Linked DNA regions of Drosophila melanogaster. The protein of the gene in region 1 purifies or fractionates together with the protein of each later gene. This does not show direct contact. Each region holds a gene or a part of one and is shown in the gene's direction. Other genes may lie near its edges.

What was found.
Region 2: the proteins of Pp4-19C (region 1) and flfl purify together in Drosophila melanogaster (affinity purification with western blotting; one study listed by BioGRID). This does not show direct contact.
Region 3: the proteins of Pp4-19C (region 1) and PPP4R2r purify together in Drosophila melanogaster (affinity purification with western blotting; 2 studies listed by BioGRID, with this or other methods). This does not show direct contact.
Region 4: the proteins of Pp4-19C (region 1) and Ptpa purify together in Drosophila melanogaster (affinity purification with western blotting, with the first as the bait; one study listed by BioGRID). This does not show direct contact.

What each region holds. Positions count from the first base shown.
Region 1 is NC_004354.4:20,420,331-20,425,843, reverse strand, and holds Pp4-19C (protein phosphatase 19C), read left to right. Parts: upstream 1-1,841; 5' UTR 1,842-2,198; intron 2,199-2,837; exon of another isoform or gene 2,838-2,891; 5' UTR 2,892-2,991; coding exon 2,992-3,785; intron 3,786-3,849; coding exon 3,850-3,979; 3' UTR 3,980-4,757; downstream 4,758-5,513. Other genes in the region: cactin, read right to left, coding at 1-1,690; Obp19d (Odorant-binding protein 19d), read right to left, coding at 4,988-5,066, 5,131-5,267, 5,340-5,428. UniProt on the Drosophila melanogaster protein: Protein phosphatase that regulates many processes such as microtubule organization at centrosomes. The probable PP4 complex Pp4-19C-PPP4R2r-flfl (PPP4C-PPP4R2-PPP4R3) is required to prevent caspase-induced cell death (in vitro).
Region 2 is NT_033777.3:13,681,925-13,687,200, forward strand, and holds the start of flfl (falafel), read left to right. Parts: upstream 1-1,996; 5' UTR 1,997-2,226; intron 2,227-2,500; 5' UTR 2,501-2,600; intron 2,601-5,247; exon of another isoform or gene 5,248-5,276. Other genes in the region: omd (oocyte maintenance defects), read right to left, coding at 1-207, 263-1,038, 1,103-1,209. UniProt on the Drosophila melanogaster protein: Regulatory subunit of serine/threonine-protein phosphatase 4. The probable PP4 complex Pp4-19C-PPP4R2r-flfl (PPP4C-PPP4R2-PPP4R3) is required to prevent caspase induced cell death (in vitro). May be involved in DNA damage repair.
Region 3 is NC_004354.4:10,477,283-10,482,752, forward strand, and holds PPP4R2r (protein phosphatase 4 regulatory subunit 2-related protein), read left to right. Parts: upstream 1-1,555; 5' UTR 1,556-1,687; intron 1,688-2,087; exon of another isoform or gene 2,088-2,207; 5' UTR 2,208-2,218; coding exon 2,219-2,435; intron 2,436-2,506; exon of another isoform or gene 2,507-2,553; coding exon 2,554-2,742; intron 2,743-2,801; coding exon 2,802-4,225; 3' UTR 4,226-4,661; downstream 4,662-5,470. Other genes in the region: CG2887 (uncharacterized protein), read right to left, coding at 113-1,141. UniProt on the Drosophila melanogaster protein: Regulatory subunit of serine/threonine-protein phosphatase 4 (PP4). The probable PP4 complex Pp4-19C-PPP4R2r-flfl (PPP4C-PPP4R2-PPP4R3) is required to prevent caspase induced cell death (in vitro).
Region 4 is NT_033779.5:3,375,049-3,379,255, forward strand, and holds Ptpa (phosphotyrosyl phosphatase activator), read left to right. Parts: upstream 1-1,953; 5' UTR 1,954-2,050; coding exon 2,051-2,078; intron 2,079-2,133; coding exon 2,134-2,757; intron 2,758-2,813; coding exon 2,814-3,022; intron 3,023-3,107; coding exon 3,108-3,443; 3' UTR 3,444-3,542; downstream 3,543-4,207. Other genes in the region: CG15412 (uncharacterized protein), read right to left, coding at 37-360; CG9662 (uncharacterized protein), read right to left, coding at 1,062-1,372, 1,433-1,571. UniProt on the Drosophila melanogaster protein: PPIases accelerate the folding of proteins. It catalyzes the cis-trans isomerization of proline imidic peptide bonds in oligopeptides. Acts as a regulatory subunit for serine/threonine-protein phosphatase 2A (PP2A).

The sequences.
Region 1 (5,513 bases):
GCGGGGTCAGTTGATTGTTATCCACTCGTTCTGGATGAAGGATTAGCAGACGCTGTCTCTGTGTTCGCCGCTCGTCGTCCTCCTCCTCGTAGAGAAGTCCTTCTGCCTCCGGTTCGTCGACGTCTTCGTTTTGCGCTCGTCTGCCGGTGAAGTCCTCTTCGCGTATATAGCGCGGGCTGTAGTTCCCTGCCTGGTAAAGACGCACTGTTTTACGCAGCTCATTCAGGGGATCCTCCTCGTCTTCGGGTGAGCCCTCCTCAACCTCCGGGTCCTCTGCGTCCTGGGTTTCCATCTCCTCTTCCTTGACTTGTGGGGCCACCTTCTCTTGCAACGTCTCATTATCGTTTTCTCGCTTGAGCAGCGACAGCTTCTCGCGCAATAAGGCTTGATGGCGATCTCGCAGTCGAGCTCTGGCCATGTGTGCCTTGAGTTGCGAGAGCAGGCTTTCCCAGTAGCTAATGTCGACGCCATCCGCTCGCCCACTGATCTTGGCCTCGATGCGGTGCCGCATCTCCTCCAGCTGCTGAGCATTCTTCCCCCTAAAAATATCGGCCACATCCTTTACCACCGCCTGGTGGATGCCATCCCGGCGTTGATTGAGCGAACTATTCTCCGCCTCCAGTTTCTGTTGGCGCTGCAGTTCATCCTGCACAATGGTGATCATATCGTTCCAGAAATCGATGTGCTTGCCCTGCTCCAGCTCTTCGTATACCTTAATGTCGACCAGCAGGTCCTCCAGTTCTTCCACGGGCAGGCCGTTTAGCAGCACATAGGGCTCGTGCATCTGCATCTCGAGGCACTCTTCGAGCGGCTCATTCCCAGCGGCCACATATTGGGCGAGAAGATCGATGGGCTTGGCACGTCCATCTCGGATCCGGATTTCACTGCGCAAGCGTGCCTGCTCTAAGTGAAACTGATCTTCCTGTCGCTGCCACTCGCGGAACTGCACCGCCTCCTTGGCGCGCTGCTGCATCATAAGATCATCCTCGCGCACCTGCCGCTCCAGCTCCCTCTCCTGACGCCGTTTCTTGACCTTCTCCAGCTCCCTGCGATTTTCCAACTGCTTTTGCAGAGACAGTACCTCTACGGTTTTGGTGGAGAGATTTGATAGTCCCTCTACCTCCAGCTTTTTGCCCCAGTGGAAGGTGGAGGTGAGATTGGAGTCCCCGAACGGGTTGTCTTCGTTGGAGTACGTCTGGTACTCGTTGTCCCAGCCCATTCGTTCGCGACGCCGCTGCTCCTTGGCCTGCTTTTCGCGCAGGCGACGGGCGCGCTTCTCCTCGGGCGTTTCATGGGCCTTCAGCTCCTCCTTTTTACGCTGACGATCCTTCTGCTCGACGAGGCGACGGGCTTCCAGCGTCTGGAGAAGCTTCATCGGGCTTTTTACCAGCGGCGAACGAGGGGCACCGGGCACCGAGCTGGACGTCGAACTCGACGGGGATGAGCTGGAGGAAGAGGACCGGCGTCTCCGGCTTTTGTGCTCCCGCTTCTTGTCCCTGCTTTTGTCCTTTTCCCTTTCCCTGCGCTGGTCACGTTCCTTGTCTCTGTGATCTCTGTGGTCACGATCCTTTTCCCGCTCGCGTTCACGATCCCGATCCCTGTTCCTGCTGCTCCTCGGATCCGGACTGCGATGATCCCGCCTCTCCCGACTGCGGCTGCGATGCCGGTGCTTGGATTTCTCCTTGGGCATCTTTTTTAATGAGTTTTTCGGGATAAAACTTGTGAAATAAAATATAAACAATGCTAGCGTTGCCAGATGGAGAAAACCAACCCAGATAGCCACTAATAATTGCAAAAGTGCTATCGATATAAGCATTATAACATTAACACATCTCCCTCTTGCCGATAAGTCGATTTATTTTTCCAAGGGTTAGTTTTTACAAACTTTAAATTTTAAAATTTCGGCTGCAGCGTATTATAAATACACAAAAATAAATAATTTATCGATGGAATCCTTGGTGCAGTGTAAAAGGCTTTTTAGGGTCTTCGTGGTAATGCCCACTATCGAAACTGAAGACTCGATGTGTCATTGCAAGTGCCATTACTCAATATATCGATACAAACGCAAGTAGCCAATCCAGCTCTTCGCAGAAACCCGGTTGGCAAAAACGTTTATGTGCATTTTTTGTATTCAATCGCCAACACGAGAGCCGAGCTACCAGCAAAAGGATTGTCCAGATAGCCCGCCACTGCGCTGAGTAAGTAGTGATTCTGGAAAAGTGTCGGGGAAGACAGGAAAAACACGGCAGACGGTGAAAATCGCGCGCGGCAAAAAGGCCAGCGACAAGCCAGACGCACACACACACGCGAGCATCCGCACAAAGCCGACGCACACAGACGCATGCAGGCGAACTCAAAAACCGAAACACAAACAAAAGGATGGTTATTAGTCGACTATTAGTTACCTTACTTCCAGTTCAGCAGCAACTGAAAATCTGAACTAATCTCTAATCCAGAAATTCTGGATTTAAAACAAATCCAACCCTATCCACTGTCAAATACACGTTTCGTATTTGAAAGAAATGTGTATGCATTCACTTAAAACACAGCCATCTAAAACAGCTAAAAGAAGTTATATCGAGAATATAGCCTCTTTTCTCGTTGGTTGGCTTTTCATTGCGAAATAGCCTCATGGACTATCTCAACAAGTGGAATAGCTGGGAACGCGAATGTGTGTGTTTATATTATTTGCCCAATCCGTAAATATAGTTGAATCGTCTTGATTCTTAGATGTGGGGGATGCAGCTATACAGATGCACTTTATGGCCTCTAAAACGCTAGACTTGCTGTGCACGACTAGAGTAGTACCCTATCCTATCACTCAAGCGACCAAAAATTTATAGTATTTCTCTTATGCAACCTTGTGGCTACCTGAAAACCACCCGCGCCAGTTTGGTGAACGACTAACAACGCTGTCCCCGCCCTGTCAACGCCTGCAGTCCGATTCACCGCTTCCCCGTCGCCTCGGCTGCCGCCATCCTCCGGGTGAAGATGTCCGACTACAGCGACCTGGACCGACAGATCGAGCAACTGAAGCGCTGCGAGATCATCAAGGAGAACGAGGTGAAGGCCCTGTGCGCCAAAGCCCGCGAGATCCTGGTGGAGGAGGGCAACGTGCAGCGTGTGGACTCGCCAGTGACCGTGTGCGGCGACATCCACGGTCAGTTCTACGACCTGAAGGAGCTGTTCAAGGTTGGCGGCGATGTGCCCGAGAAGAACTACCTGTTTATGGGCGATTTCGTGGACCGCGGCTACTATAGTGTGGAGACGTTTCTGCTGCTGTTGGCGCTGAAGGTGCGCTATCCGGACCGAATCACGCTGATCCGGGGCAACCATGAGTCGCGCCAAATCACACAGGTCTACGGCTTTTACGATGAGTGCCTGCGCAAGTACGGATCGACGGCCGTGTGGCGGTACTGCACGGAGATCTTTGACTACCTCAGCCTTTCGGCGATCATCGACGGCAAAATATTCTGCGTGCACGGCGGGCTGTCGCCGTCCATCCAGTACCTCGACCAGATTCGCAGCATCGACCGGAAGCAGGAGGTGCCGCACGACGGGCCCATGTGCGACCTGCTTTGGAGCGATCCGGAGGACCAGACTGGCTGGGGCGTGTCGCCGCGCGGCGCTGGCTATCTCTTTGGCTCGGACGTGGTCTCCCAGTTCAACCGCACGAACGATATCGACATGATTTGCCGTGCACACCAGTTGGTAATGGAGGGCTTCAAGTGGCACTTCAACGAAACCGTCCTGACCGTCTGGTCGGCACCCAATTACTGCTATCGGTGAGTCAGCCTCCTGTGCAATTTCGAACTTGTGTTGTTAACTCTGGAATCTCTCCACATGCAGCTGCGGCAATGTAGCTGCCATCCTGGAGCTGAATGAGTACCTGCACCGCGACTTCGTCATCTTTGAGGCAGCTCCGCAAGAGAGTCGCGGCATTCCCTCGAAGAAGCCTCAGGCGGACTACTTTCTCTAAGACGCTTCCGTTCCTGACAATCCGGTGGAACGGAGTCGGCACAGGATGCGGGTGCCGACTGGTAGCTTACATAAATCATCTAGGGAATAGAAATAGAAACTGCCAGCCTGCAAAAGCGAAGCGAACGCGAATAGCAACTGATGGTGTAAAACAAAAAATATGTAACATAAACGTAAGCTAGGGTAGAGCTGCCGGACACAGGTCCACGTTCAGTTAGACTTATTTGCTTTTTTGGTTCAACTAAGATATTTAAATTTTTTTTACCATCTGTTTACCTCTACCTGTGTTTAATCAGGCTATTTGCGCGATCTTTTAATGGCTGTTTTCAAAACATGTAGAGATCAGCCATGCAGATCGCGTATGACCTGTGCACCTCATCTAGCTACTAACTAATAGGTTTAATGACCATAGCCCAAGACCCTGAGAATTCGCCTTGCGTAGACGGACCGCAATCGGAGCCGCCGTCTTCTCGACACGAATTCCCTGGGCTTGGGCAGCATACTATACTAGGAGCCCAAGTTGAGCAAATAGATATTTTTACCGACAGATTGCGTTAAGTCGGCTAAGCTAGGACATATTTAGGGGAGCCGAGAGCGAACGCGCATCCCTGGCTGGGTCCCTTCTCCGCAGGATATCACCTGGAGAAACCCAGGTACGAAGAACATCGTGCATTAATAAATAGTGAGTAAGAATCTTTTAAATATGCCCCAGATTGGGAGATGATATACAAAAAAATGTACTTGTATTTATAATAATAAAGATTGTAATATAATCGTCGAAATTGAGCAAGAATTTTTTATTAGTAAATTATGGGTCCCGAGGAGTCTTGGAGGATAACCACACCCATACGAATCCCCCTTCACAATCCAACAAACAATCAAGCCTGCAGTTTCTCAGTTTATCAAGTACTTAATTCATAGTATACACATAAAAAAAAAAGATGGTTATATTCCAGAAGGGCGCTTGTGATACAGTAACGGGGGGTCGTCATGGGTCTCAAATCTGTTCTCAGTGCTCCTCCAGCTCGAGTCCATGCTCCTTCATTTGCTCGTAAATGCATTCCTCGTAGGCGAAGGCAGCGTCGCAACTGAAAATGGCAGCATGATTATAGTCCGGATTTGAGCCAACAGCTTCCGGCGAGCACTACTCACTGATCCTCGGGTGTCTCGATGGCCTCGCACTTGGCCACCACCTCGGCGGGAGCGTCTTCCTTCTCTGCATCGTGCTTGCTCATGACCTTGACCAACTCGATGGCGTGTTCCTTGTTCAGCTTACCGGATTCATCCATCTGCAATGGGAGGGAGAATGGAATGGGTGGTGGTGAGTGGATCACACTTCCTGCCGGAGCAGCAGCACTCACTATCTGCAGCTTTTTCATCACGCAGGCGCGCAGGCACTTGGCCTCGTGTCTCTCGGGCAGGTCGTGGCTCATCAGCTGCTCCACATCCTCTGTAAGCGATATATCATATGATTGATAATTGCACAATAACTATCCTAACACATCCACCACAGGTAGGAGTGGTACGCTGACAGC
Region 2 (5,276 bases), on another chromosome or scaffold:
GTTCCAGCTCCTGCATCGAATTGTCCAGGAAATCCTGACACCAAACATACTTCTCGGCCATTTTGGCTGCCGTAAGGAGCAACGTCGCTCCACGCTCGTTCAGGCGCAGCACGGCATTATTCAGCGTGGGCTGCATACCGGCAAACATTTTGTTGCTCAGCCACAACGGCGCCTTCTGCACTATCACCTCGCACATGTCCTCGGTATCTACATGACATTGTGTTAGAGAAATAATATATCTCTTTATTCAACCAGTACTTACAGATTTCGACTAGCACATTGACCAAGCTCTGCAGGATCGTGTCCGAGTAGTTGGTGGTGATCAGCAGGAAAGGAACAACGGCCACGTCCAGCGGCTTCTTCGGTGCGAATCCCTCCCTAAGCATCTCACGAAAGGCTGCCCTAAGGTGCTGTTCGTGGCACGAGGTCATATAATCGAGGATGCCCGCCTCCGAATCCAGGTGGCAGCGGTAGTCATCGACGAATCGCTTGATGCCGCACTGTAGAATCTGCATGATGATCTTGTAAGGGAAACAGCCGCCCAATCTCGCCACAATCCAGTCGAAGGTCATGGGAAACCGGTGAAAGGCATTGAGCATGATCTCCACGCAGGCCTCCTCCTCCGGTTGGGTTAACTTTCGGAAACAACTATTTATAAGGGTCATCAGCCCGTGCATGGCGCTGCACTCCAGCCAATAGTTGCAGCTGGCCGTGATGGTCATCCGCCGCTGGGTGTACTTATCGGACAGCTTGGCCACTAGTTCCAGACTCCAGTTGGCGATGAGCGGCGACCAGGCGGGCGGTCCCTTCCACACCAGACTCTGCAGCGCGGTCTTTACCAGATTGAAAGCCTCGTATTCCGGAGCACGTTGCTGCTGCTGGCGATTCCCGGCCAGCTTCACCTGGGATACCGGCATACCGGTCTTTGGGTCGGCCATCTCCGGCGACACATACAGCTGCACACTGATTTCGGCCAGCAGGGCGAAGTATTCGAACACAATGTCTCGCGTGGCGGGCAGCTCCTCCAGGAATCCCAGTCTGCAAATATCCATGGAATTATTTACTACGGGCATCATTATTAACCACCGCGGTTGCTACTCACGCGAGCTTGATGAGATTGGGGCTGGTCAGCAGCTGCGGACAACTGTGCCCATTGCTCACCGTCTCTATGAAGTGCTTAAGCTGATCCAACAGGTTCTGGCGCAGCATTTTGTCGTCCTAGGCATCGGGAACGCAGCACCGAAGTTGGCCAAGTGAGCAAATGCATCGCAGCAGCGGGTCGCTGCGTCTTTCACTCGGAATACCAAAACGACGGGGCACAACTGCAGGCATTTGGAATCCGCCGCCACCTGGCCACACTAAGGCGGCAGAAAATTCGAAATTCTTTAATATCTGAAAATCATAAAATTAACAGAATAATAAATATCTTAGCACTCTAACGTGTCATTACATTCATTATAAACTAGCACCTGAGATTAGTTTAAGATGACACTTTACATTCAAGTTAAATTAAGCTGGAAAAGATTTCTAATCGGAATTATGTGTTTACTACAATGCTAACTTTCGAATCGAGGATGTAATTACTGAGTAATCAAACTGTTTGCTCTTTTTAATACTAAGTAAACGTACTTATAGCTCTATTTTCTAATTTTATAATATTTAACGTGTTTTTGTTTTAAAATATTATCGTAACAGTAGGGAGTGCGAAAAACGGTAACACCAAAACCCAGTTCGTGCATTATTGCACACTCTTTTGGGGCGAATCAAGAGCGAAAGACAACATGGCGTCGAAGCGGCGAATCTGTCTCGCAGTTTGTCGTGCTGTTTGCTTTTTTCTGCTCTGATTTGTACAAATATTCATTCAAGGTGCTCCAGTTTTGCCAAGTATATGTTAATAGAGTACCATAACAATGGTGGCGTCACAGGGGTGCTAGAGTTCGATATCGATAACAGCTCACATTCTCGTCATATGCAACTATCGCTGTACTCTCTGGCCGAGTATCGATACGCAGATATTATCGTCGTGGTCAGACCAACGCTCTAGCGTCGGTCCGCGGAAAATAGCGAAAATTACAATTATCCGGGAAGATATATTGGTCGAAAACTAACTCGTGATCCCCCAATAAATATGCGCAAGAGAAAATTGTATATAAACTGATCGAATGCAGCCAGCGTGCTAAGCACTAAAAGCGAAAAACGCCAGAAACAGAAACAAGGAATTGCAGCGTGAGTGTATAACTTTTTGGTTTTTGCCCCCGCGCTCTTTCTCTCTCTTTGCTGCTCTCTCTCTCCCGCTCTCTTTTGCCCTCTTGCGGCTTCTGTGTTGTCTGCGTGCTAGTGTGTGTGTGTTTGAATTTTACTGTGAATGTGACCGACGGTGTGTTCTCACGTACTCCGTGGATGATTTGCGGCCTTGCCAGGGAATCGGACTATATATCCCGGCAATAGCCCATATTGGATCCCGATTTTGAATACAACTCGGCTGATTTGCTTCTTTCAGTGTCTCCCCTTTTATCGCACTTTATGCAACAACGCATACCGTCGTGTTGAATTTCCTCGCTCTCCGCTGTGTGTGGTTTGTAGGTGTGCGTGTGTTCGAGGTGAGTTAGCCGTCGTCTGTTTTTCTTTTCCCTGCGTTTTGTGTGCGTTTCAATGAAATGCAAAATCGCCAGCGAATATCGCGGAAATGCGCTGCTCCTAAATATTATGTATACATAAATAAAGTATCGAATCAAAACAAAATCGGCTTGCAACAACAACAAAAACATTGCAGAGTGTGGGTGGCGCGTGTAGCGATCAAAATTGCGTGCATGTGTAATGTGTGTGGTGGAGAGACGGCATTTTTCTTTACCACACGCCTCTTCTTCTTTCCCACAATACACTGCAATTTTTGCGATTCTGTTTTGCGCCTGCCATTCGCAATAATTTTATTGAATGAACCGCAAAAGAGACGGCCCAAAAAGCGATGTACTTGCCAGACGTTGTGTCTGTGTGCGTCCAAGTGTCTGTAGCGCGTTGTGTGTGTATCGCGTATGAAAATACATCAACTGTTGGGCATCAACAAAAAAACGGAATCAAAAATTTATAATAAAAAATGAAAGGAAATTAGCTGACTTTGTAATCGCAATCGGAGAGTGTTTACTTGCTAAATTTTCGAGTTCTCCGCCCGTCTCTTTCCCTTCATCCCTCCTGCCTTCACCGCCAATACCACCCCAAAAAATTGCATACATGCACACACGCCTTCGGTTGTGCGAGTGGTTTAGTGTGTGAGCGCGCGCGTATTCTGCACACATTGTCATGCATGCAAAAAACAAGATACGACGCGTTCGCAATCGTTAGATTCCGTCTCCCCCAATTCATGGCGTTTCATTGCTGGGGGCGAAAGTAAGAAGATAACGAAAGGGATATGCGAACCACTTCCTAATGAAGTCCTGCATCCTTAGCTTTTGGATTCCCACCTCTTCGCCTTCTCCTTCTTCACACGGACACTTGCAGCGTTCGCGCCCATGCGTGTGTATGTGTGCGAAGAACAGGAAGAGAGCAGCGAGACTCCAATTATCCATTTACAGTTGCGGTTGAAATGATGGAGCATAGTTGTATTATTTGTATTCACACAATTACCGGTGGTATTTAAAGTCTTAACAATATTTATTAATTTCCTGCTACCTTCCTAAATTTTATTCATAGTTTTAATACTGTACCCAAGTACCTTAAGTTCCCTAATCAGATGTAAACTTGTTGATAGGCATAATTCCTATCTTAGTTTGTATTTTTGTCTACTATAACCTAAACTTAATTCTACTACGAATTTAATTACAACATACTAAGACTGTAATCTACAAACCAAACGAAAATGCCTTGAATAAAAGAGGTCTAGTGATTCATAATACGATTTGCACACGTGTTATTAACTAGGTAGTAGCGAAATAGAGTCAAAAAGGCCACCGACTTGTTCACAACTGTATCTCTTACTAACTTCCCTATAAAAACTAATTGTTGCTGGGGCGAAAAAATACTGCCAAGTTGTCATATTTGCCGGACTTTATTGATGACTCGACTCCAGAGCTCTATATTTCGCACACAGATTTTCTCTCGGCACTTTTCGCAACCTTCTGCGGCCGCTGGTTATTAATAAAAATTAATAATAAACGAAATCTGTGGCGCTGTGCGGCACTTGGACACACTTATGTACACATGAGCATTCTCGTGTTTTTCGCAGCTGATTGCGTAAACGAAACCGCTCGCTACGTTTGTTTTGAATTGCTACTTTTGTTTTGGTACCGATTCAGACTTGGAATCCGATTCAGTTACAGATTGAGATTGAGATTGAGATACTCAGGCTCTCCGCCTGGGCTTCAATTCTCCTGCGGGCGTTATCAGTGGCCTATGGCGCTTTATTGGAATTACCATGGAAGTGGGAACTTAATCGCTGTGCAAATCGCTTCGAAACAGCGCAGCACGCATTTTCCCCGACGTCTTGCAACCTTGGGCGAGTGGCACTGCGGGCGGTGGGTGGTGAGCGGTTGGGTGATCTAGAGTGACGTAAATATTTGTGGTGGACAGTCAACATTGAGGTGGCGCTCTTCAACGATGACGTAGCTTTTGCCACTTCTGTTTACTCGCACATTATTTCACACACTTCTCCATTGATTTTCGCCGTGCAGATAACGAAATAGTGGACTGATTGTTAACTGTGTATAAATGAAAATATGGGTATGATATGTGTTTATTTACACTTTTTTTCTGTGTACGAGAATGGTTAGATTACTCCCCTTCCTCGTTTTGAGTCACCCGCTCTCTGGCCCTCGCCGCTGTTTGTTTTCTTCGCGCGCGTGTTTGCTCTCGCCGTGGGGCGAAAGCGCAGCGATAATAGTGGCTCAGATATAGTGTATACTATATGTATAGTAAACCTACTCATACCGAAAACCCCATCGCACAGATACGGATACATTTACAGATACACGCGCGCACTGCGGAAGGCCTAGATCTAATGGAAAACGCTAAATGTTTGTAAACAGACCGGGCACATTTCTTTTCTTTTCTTAATTATTTTTTGCATTTCGCATTTTAGTTGGCATGGTCTTCTCACGGCTTCTCTCTCTTCACACATCTTTCTTCCGAAAATACACTCACACACACGCACACCGAACGTAGCTTTCACATTTTCATTCATCGCAATCTTCGCCATGAAGTGTTGCAAAGGCCCCAAGATAAGATATAGGATGCACTTGGATACCTTAACCTCACCTTTTTGCGACAATAGCACACGAATAATC
Region 3 (5,470 bases), 9.9 Mb from region 1:
CACATAGAAAAAAAATATGTAATTTTATGTGGAGCACAGATGATTTTTTGTTGTATGTATGATCCGTTGATCCGTTCATAAAGACGGATAACATCTCCAGGTGTCCATTCGATCAGTTTTGCAGAAGTCTGTCGAGCGAGGATGCGAGTTCTTTGGATATGGCGTCTGGAAACTGGATGGAGAACCTGACGACGATGGAGCCGCGACGGGAATTATTAATGGAATCGGGCAATCCGTAGCCCAGAATGCGGCGCACGGATTTCGGACTGATTACCTCGCCCACGTCGGTCTTGAGTTCCATCGGCCTGCCAAGAAGCGTCGGCACCATCACGTGTAAACCGCACAGAGCATCCTTCAGCGAGATTTCGGCTGTGTACAGCAGATTGTTGCCATCGCGGCGAAAGATTGGGTGTGGCTTGTCCCGGATTATAAACACGACGTTGGCGGGCTCAAGGTTGGGCAGTTGAATACCCTCATTGGGAAAGCAGATCTTGGTGCCAGCCTTACAGCCCGGAGGTATCTTGACAGTGAGAATTCTGTCATATTGTACCCCATCAACGCCGTTCCTACCCGAAGCCCGGGAGATCTTCATGCGCCTGTTGCACCCGTTGGCAATGTCCTCCAGAGCAACGTATATTACATGTTCGATGCTTGACTGGGGTGACTGTTGTTCGCAACGACGTTTAGGCGCGCCCGCTCCTCCACCCAACAGGACGTCATCGTCGCTGTCAAAATCGTTTTCGATATCCTCGAAGAACGTAGAATATGATTCGCTGTTGTCGAAGAAACGTCCAAAGTTGGCCCGCGGGTTGTTCTGGCGACCACCGCCACTGCCACCGCCACTGCCACTGCCACTGCCACCACCACAGCTACCAAATGCCGTTCCATCGCCGAAACCGCTACCTTGATTCGCGGTATTGCGTCGGGTACCCTTGTCATTGCGGGAGTCGTACGATCCGCGCTTCTTTTTGTCTGATAGGACTTCATATGCCTTGGCCACCTGCTTAAAGATCTCCTCCGCCTGAGGGCTCTTGTTTTTGTCCGGATGGTAGCGCAGCGCTTGCTTATGATATGCCTTGCGGATTTCGCCATCATTGGCAGTGCGCTGGATGCCCAGTATCTTGTAGTAGTCTTTAGGCATGGTTTTTTACTCCAAATGTTTTACGTACACAGACGAACAAGTGCAACTCCTTCGAAAATTTAATCGAATTGTAAAAGGTATTGTTCCAATCAGAATGTTGCTTAATTTGAACAACACTGCTACGATTACTATATGCTTACTATTTATTTATGCTTCGATTTAGATTTTATAGCCTAACGCCCTTTCTTTTAGTTTTTCTATTGGTCTGATTTTGGTTAACTTATACAACAATATTTTCGCTGCATAACTTTAAAAAGGGAGTGGGACATAACAAGTTTTGAATTCAAGAACCGATTACTTTCGATATTTACCGCCATGCTCAGTGCCATGGTTACTCAAAAATCATCGATTGCTAGCTGCGCTCATACGATAGTTGCCATCGGGGGTCGCTCATCACTGCCGGCATCAAACGGTCACATCACTCTCAATATTAATTGATAAGCAAAAAATTGAGCAAGTTCTCGCATAAACTTTGCAATCGGAAAAGCGTAGTTGTGATAAAAACAAGTAGAATAACAAAAACAAAAAAACAACAAACAAAAAAAAGTAGGTTCAAAAAATGGAGAGCGAGAAAATCTGTGACCTGAAAATGTTGAGGTGGGCCAGTTTCGTGATGGAAATTCGCAGGGCGTCGTGTATATTTTTCTTTTTTTTTGGCCTTCTGGCGCAGACAGTTACAACAACAACTATGACTTGGCAACAAGAGTTGCAGCCGCTAACATACACACGCAGCCAGACATGCAGAAGCTGTGAGCAGCTTTTGCGAATTGTAGAAAATGTGTGCTTGTGTGCAACATAACTAGTTTTCTCCTGCGAATCATCCACGAAAAGAGAAAGAGGGACAGAGAGAAATGTCTGACAGCTGGCAGATGCAAGATGTATTATGTCCGCTTCTTGCGCATACCTACCTGCACACAATTGCAGTTGCTCATTTGCTCTCTCGTTTTTTGTGTGTCTACCTCGAGGTGGAAAATGTTCATAACTTTGCCGGCCGGTTTTTGATCTCCTTTCTTTGCTCACCACTTTTTCCCCCCAAATCATGATCATAGCTTTCCCCTCCGCTCAGCGATCGCCTAAATGGTCACCATGGAAAACAGCGACGAGATAATGCAGATCCTAGAGCGCTTTACGGATCTTAAACAAAAGGAGATCCCAAAGGAGCTGGAGGAGTACCTACAGTATGTGGCCAAGACCGGCGACACCATCTTCAAGTGGTCCAGCCTGAAGTACTTGTTCCGCGAGAAGCTGCTCAGCGTGATCAAGCACTTTAATGAGGATTCGCCGCGTTTGGAGGGTGAGTTTTCAGGTTGTCCTGTTAGGTTTGGTGTCAGGTTGAACCATAATCCGAAATGCAATTCCACTCAGGGATATTAGGAACAGAAATAACCGAAGACGAACTTAACTGCTTGCAGAGATTCCCAACTATCCGAATGTGGACCCTTTCAACTACGAGACCATGAAGTCCTCGTTGCTGGAGCGCTTGGACCTTTTCAATGCAGCTCCTTTTACCGTGCAGCGGTTGTGCGAGCTACTAATCGATCCTCGGAAGCAGTACTCGCGCATCGATAAGTTTATGCGTGCTTTGGAAAAGAATATTTTAGGCAGGTCTCATTCCTAAAACTAACTATTTACTATGTATTAAAGATTCTTAATTTTACAGTGGTTAGCACAATCGATCCTGGACGCAAGCGTACCGAAAGTGAGAATGGCGACTCGCTGGACTCAGTGGTCAACGGGGACCTCTCCATGGAGGTGAACATTGACATTGAAATGGAGAATAATAACGGTAACGCCGATGAGGGCTCATCTCCCGGCGCCGGTTCGGCAGGTTGTGCCCAGAAGGCAAGCTGCCCGCGTTCGGACGACAATGATCAGCCCAAGGCCAAGAAGGCAAAACTGGAGATCGATGGTGAAGAGCGTTCGGAAGCGAGCGATGAAACGGACACAGAAGTGGCAACCAGGGTCAAAAATGAAAAGGATGAGAAGAATGACAACGATGAGACTGATTCGCCGCATGAGGCTGCCGAGATCGAGGAGCCCGATGAAGAGGTGGATGAGGCTGATCAGGAGACCAAGACCACCAAGCAGCCTGCTTACGGCAGTCAGAAGGAGGGCGAGCAGGAGGAAAGTTTCCCATCATCTGCCGATGACGAGGCGGAGGACCCAATGGTGAGCAAATCCATAGAAGCTGAGAAAGAACTTGTTGCTCAGGAAAAGAAGAGGGAGGAGGACAAAAAGGTGGCAATCGAGCCAAAAGAAGAGATTGTAAAGAAGGAAGAGGTCGTCGAGTCTGATAAACCGGACGGAAAGGTGGCACAGTTAGGCGACAAGGCAGTTGTCAAGAAATCTACACCGCCTGCCGATGGGGAAAACCAGGAGCCTGTCAAAGTCAAGGCAGAAAACGAAAAGGAGGAGAAAAAACATGCACCAATTAAAACTGAAAAGCAGGACGATATCGACTCTACTGAGACTGACGATGCCCCATCAGCAGAAAAACCCGCTGAAGAAAAGATAGCTTCCTCCGAATCGAAACCGAAGACCAAATCTGAGGACGATCCAGAGGCCGAGACCAAGAAGAGCCAACCGGAAAAGACTGAAACTGAGGCGGCCGAGAAGTCGGTTTCGGATGAAAAGCAGGCTGCCGAGCCGAATGCAGAAAGCGAGAATAGGAACGACTTGACCACTTCCAAAGCGACCGAGGCAGCCCAGGAGTCAGTCGAGAAGTCGCCGGTTGAGGATGCTTCTAGTCCTGCTGTGGAAGATCTGGCAGCTGCAACCACACCGCAATCTCCTTTGGGCGCTGCCGATTCCGCTGCTGAGACGCCGCCTGCTGAGACAGGCGATGACTCGCAGGCTTCGCCCTTGGTCGCCGCTGTAACTCCGCCTGTCTTGGCCCTCAACGACCAGCCCATGGAGGATACTCCAGCCGAGGAGGAGGCACGCGTCTCGCCGTCGGCCACCGTCGAGGAGGTGGTAATGGCCGAAAGCGCCAATGCCGGCGCAATGGCCACCGAAGAGGCCGCCAAGGACGATCCGGCCGCCATGGAGATCGATGACACCAGCCAGGAGGTGATGATGCAGTAGATTGGGCCCATTCAGGAGCCGTAAACACCTTTATTTAACTACTACTCCATATAACTAGTATTTTAAGACAAAAGCCGCAAATAATGTAGATGTAATCCTGCCCTGCTTTCCCTTTTATATCCCAACAGATCCCAATACTTTCCAATAAGGCAAGCAGTGGTAGCTCCCCCTTCGTAGCCGTAAGTCGCAGCCCGGACACGATCCAACACTAGACTCTGTTGGCGGTTCGGTGTTTCATGCTCTGTGGCCTCCCCTTTTGTTTTGTATTTATGTTGTGCTGTCCACCCCCTTGCGAATGACAATTTTGAGTATCTCAACCCCCTCGCCACTGTTCCCAAATTTTTTTAAATAATCTAGTTTTAGACGCTGTCCGTGGCACGAACTTCGGCAAGCTGTGAGCGCGATTAAACACAGAATAAACACTACTCGTAATAACAGTTCGCCGCCGTTATCCTTTCGATCCTTTCAGGTGCAGGTGCAGTATATCTTAAAAGCATAATAGGATTTACCAAAACGCTGTAGGGATAGCTTAGCATGTTGCTAAAGGTTTTTGTCCACTTTTTATTATAAATTTTGGGCAATTGAGCAAAGCTTTAATTATAATTGTGTAAGGTTGAGGTATTCCAGGACAAAGGACATTTAAAGGAACTTGTTGGAATACCTGATTGGGGTCATTTTGTTGGCATTTTAAATGAAATGACTTGCTTTTGAACGAATAGAATCGGGCGTTAATTTGATTGTGGTTGCAGTTATAGTTTGTGAAATATTTAACAGTTGTGCTGATGTTTTTGGTTACTAACTCAATTTATGGGGCTAGATAAGTTCGTCGGACTAGTGCAATCTGACATATCGACGCTTTTAATCGCCGAATGCTTTGCAAGCCAATCGAATCCTTTTCTATTTGTTTTTGCCCAGTGAAAGCCAGTCGAGTTTCTTTGGTATAGATTGTGTAGGTGTGTGAGTAACAAGCAAACAGAAACACAGAAATTGGCACGCAAGGCGAGCAAGCAAACAGGTCGTGTAATCACTTAGCAAACTAGTTCAAATTGGTAACGTGTGAAGAAGCCAATGGGAATCCCGGCGAGCGGCGGTGGTTGGCGGACACCTCGGTTCCTCGGAACGCGTGGATCCATCCATCCAACCATTTCCGCTTAAGCTCTCGTTTCCGTTCCGTTTCGCTCCCAAGTTCCGCTACCGCTTCCGCCTCCGATTCCCAATCCGATATCGATTTCGTATCTCTGTGTC
Region 4 (4,207 bases), on another chromosome or scaffold:
CAAAAGAGTCTTCTATATAGGATTTTCCTTGATTACCTGCAGGATCTTCTCGTAGTAGCTGAAGGGAAACACCTCGGTCATCAGGAAAGTAACGCCACAGTTGAGCAGCATCTGCAGGCAGGTGAACCGCATGTTGGCGTCCAGATAGTCCGAGCTGAGGATCACCCTGAGCAGATCCTGGTATATATTGGGGGTTGCTCCCAGCTGGGCCAGATACTCGTTCAGTTCCACCATGACGATGTTAATGTCCAGCTGCACGTCCGGGGCATACTGCGCGTAGCTGATGGTGGACACCAAGAGATTGGCCAGCTCCGCCAAGGCGCTGTCGCTCAGCGATCGCACGGAGCACTTTTTCGACATGTCTCTGTTATGGTTTCGGCCCAGAGGTAAACAAAATACGACGCAGAAGCCGCTGGGAGATGAGCGCACTAGAGGAATTGTTTTGCTCGTGGTTACATCACTTGGTAGCAGGCGCAATGCTGGTTGTTTTCCTGCTCCCTTAGAGTATTTCTAACGTTCCTCGGTAACTATTTGCCCAATATCAGCTAATGGCGCACTTCTACACATGCGTGTACCTTATATTTAGGGGTAAAAATAGATTCTAAAATTATATAGGCGAAGGAATCGGTTTCTGCCGACGAACTAGTGAACTGCTCGATCCAACAGCACGATGCAAACTGAGAGCCATGGGACGCCAAAATGTTTGGTTTCCTCGGTTCCACATTCTCAATTCGGCGAGCCACTTGAGCGACCAAAAAAAAACAATGCTTAACTCGTTTCATTGTTATTTTGAGTCGCTTTACAATTGCATTATTTATTCGACAGCATCGGAATAGAGACATTCTATAGTTTACTTAACTGATTCGGATGAAAGCCAGCCAGTTATTCTGCTGTTTAAACAATATTACAACTATTACACAAAATTTTAAAACGAAATCAAAGTTTTTGTTTGGTATTCCGCAGCTTTAAGCCTTTTAAACTAGAATTTCTGGCGAATGCAGTTCGGTTTACAGATATTCGAATGTGGGAGAGTACTAAGAGAGCGTTTTTCAGTAGAGATTCTAGGGCTGCAGGTAGCTGGGCAGCTTCATGCGCATGAACAGCCAGGTGGTGAAGAAGGAGACCAGGATGAAAATGAATCCCATGGCGGTCAGCAGCAGGCGGTTGAGGTTCGTCTTGCCCGGCGTGTGCGTTTGGTCCATGATAATGAATCCCAGTCCGCCGACGGTGAACAGGAAGCTGCTGGCCAGGCCCTCCATGATGTACTGCCCATTCACACGGTAGGGCATAAAGGCCACTGGACGCGAGTGTCCGTGCTCATCCACCGTGGCTCCCAGACTGGGCGGCTCCACAATCACGTCATATATGATACCTGCGGGCCAATTTGCATCTCTGTTTAACCAATCTCAATTATAGAAAGCTTAGGACTCACCGCCTGTCACCAGAAAATAGGAAAACAAAATCACACTGAAAACGGCCATCGGTGACGGCATTGGAATGCTGAATCTGCGCACCTTGATGTTCGGCGGCACCAGGATGTGGAAGGGCAGGTTATACAGTGTCTCGATCATGATGAACTAATAATTTAATAACTATAAATTTAAATATATCACGGATTTTTCAATTTTCGTGGCGGTGTCGCTGAATTTTGCCGGCGTAGGCGGAGTTTGTTGTTATCTATCGAATAGGGATGGACACTTGTACGATACTCCCCCTGCATTGGTGTATTTCCACTAGACAGCATCTATGCTTGCAGCTGCATCGTAAGCCATGTCATTGTACTGTTAATGTCTTAAGTTTTAAACTGCCTAATCGATTTGAATTTTTTTATAAGACTCAAAATATATTATATGTAACATCAAACGATTGGCTTATTGATACTAATGTGCTTCAGCTGCGCAGCGTGAACAGCCTTTATATTTGGTCATACTTAGTGATGTCACTATTGCGCTCGCGTAGAAAAAGAGGAAGATGCCCCCAAAATAACAAACAAAACGTAACTCCCGATCAAAATAGCTTTAAATTGAAGTTAAATAACGAAACAACTATAATGGCGAGTGGCATTAACCAAGCAGCAGGTGGGCTGAGTGAATTTCTGAAGATTCGTAGCTTAGTTAACCACTCCATTTGCAGGTAAACTGCCGGCAATTGCGAAGAAGGTGCAAAATCTCGGCGATATGGGCGTTTGGCAAAAATCCCGCGCCTTCCACGATTTAATTGGATATATAAATGGCACCAGTTCGGCCATTCAGGGCATTAAAACCACAGACGAGATTTTCGAGTCGGAAATGCTCAAGAAGCTGCTGCGGCTATTCGATGCACTGGAGAAATTGGTAGAGCAAAATCCTCCATTGGAGCAGCCGCAGCGGTTCGGAAACAAAGCCTACAGGGATTGGGCGCAGGCAATGCGGGAATTGTTGCCCGAACTCCTAGAACAGCTGTTGCCAGACGACAAGAAGCGATACCAGGTGGAGCTGGGGCAGTATCTCACTGAATCTTTCGGCAATGCCACCAGGATCGACTACGGCACCGGCCACGAGCTGTCCTTCCTCTTCTTCCTGTGCTCCCTGTTCAAGGCGGAGATCCTGCAGGAAAGGGACATCGTGAGTGCTGCGCTGAGACTCTTCAATCGGTACCTTGAGCTCGCCAGGCAGCTGCAGCGAACATACAACATGGAACCCGCTGGGAGCCAAGGAGTCTGGTCGCTGGACGATTTCCAGTTCGTGCCCTTCATCTGGGGCAGTGCACAGCTGGCGGGTAAACAATTAAGAAGGATTCCTCCAAGATTTCCTTTCTGAAACGATTCCTTTCAGTTAAGAGTCCCTTTGATCCCTCGAAGTTCGTGGACGAGGCGATAATCACCGAGTACAAGGATCACTTCATGTTCATCAGTTGCATCGACTACATCTGCAAGGTCAAGACTGGACACTTTGGCGAGCACTCTAACCAGCTGTGGAGCATCACGGATGTGCCAACATGGGCCAAGATCAACGCGGGACTAGTTAAGATGTACCAAAAGGAGGTAATCTTTAGTCAGTAATATGACTAATATAAAGTAGCTTTAATTGAATACCTAGTACTCAGAAACTACTATAAACTATCCACAGATTCTCTCCAAGTTTCCCGTGATCCAGCACGTCTACTTCGGAGAACTGATGACATTCGAGCCCGTCTCCTCTGGCACAACTCTGTCCAACGCACGACTGGGTCATGTGGCTCCGCCGCCATCCAAACGCATCTGCATCGGGACTCCAAACTTGGTGCCACCAGTTCCTGTTGCCACTGCTCCTCCTCCGCCCGCCGAATCTCTTAGCATCGAACAGAATGTGGGCGACTCGAGCAGTGAGAGCAGCGACAACAGCGTGGTACTACGTCCATCCACATCGTCGTCTTCTCTGGTGGCGGCCGCCGAGGGATCTGGGGATAAGCCCAGCAAGGAATAGACTACAGAATGGAGGAAAATGGCGATGGTGTAACCTGTGTTAAAAATTCTTATTAATAGCGTTGGCCAATGGTCCAGTAAAAACTGTTTACACAAGTACAATCGCAATTTGTGTTCCTGGGTCTTAAAGTTTCCGCTTTCAAATGGGTACATGAAGCACTTTCCCGGCGAATGTGTTTCACAACATTTAATCCGAGTTTAATGGAAACAAATGTTCTTTCCCATTTACACAAGAAAAAGTACAAAAATGGGAAGCGATGGACGAGCGGAAAAAAAATAAACAAAATCAATATGGCAAATGAGGCATGCAAATAGATGAACTCGTTGTAGTACATCTACTTTTGCGGGTAGAAACAGCTTAAAACAGGACGAATTTATAGCAGAAAAAGAGGGAAGCTGGAAAGTGGCAAAATGTAAAAGTTGAAAAAAAAAAACTTTTGCGGGGAGTCCCCCTGAAAGCATAATCATTTATTTTCGACACATCATTTATCAAACCGTACGGCAGGCGCCAGCTTGCCACGCCCCCTCATTTCGTCACTTAAAAACTTCATCCGGCATAGTTTTTTTTTTTTGTTTTTTTCTTCGTTGTATATTTTGAGAAAAACCGGGTAGGCAAGGCAGCAGCGAATGCATTAAAACTTTGCCGACGCATTTTGATTGAAGACTTTCGAAAAACACGAAAATGTGTGCTTTTCTCCATTGTTTTGGCCCAAAATGTGGCAACGAGCGACCAACTTCGGTCATGTTCATCAATTTGACCCTGTC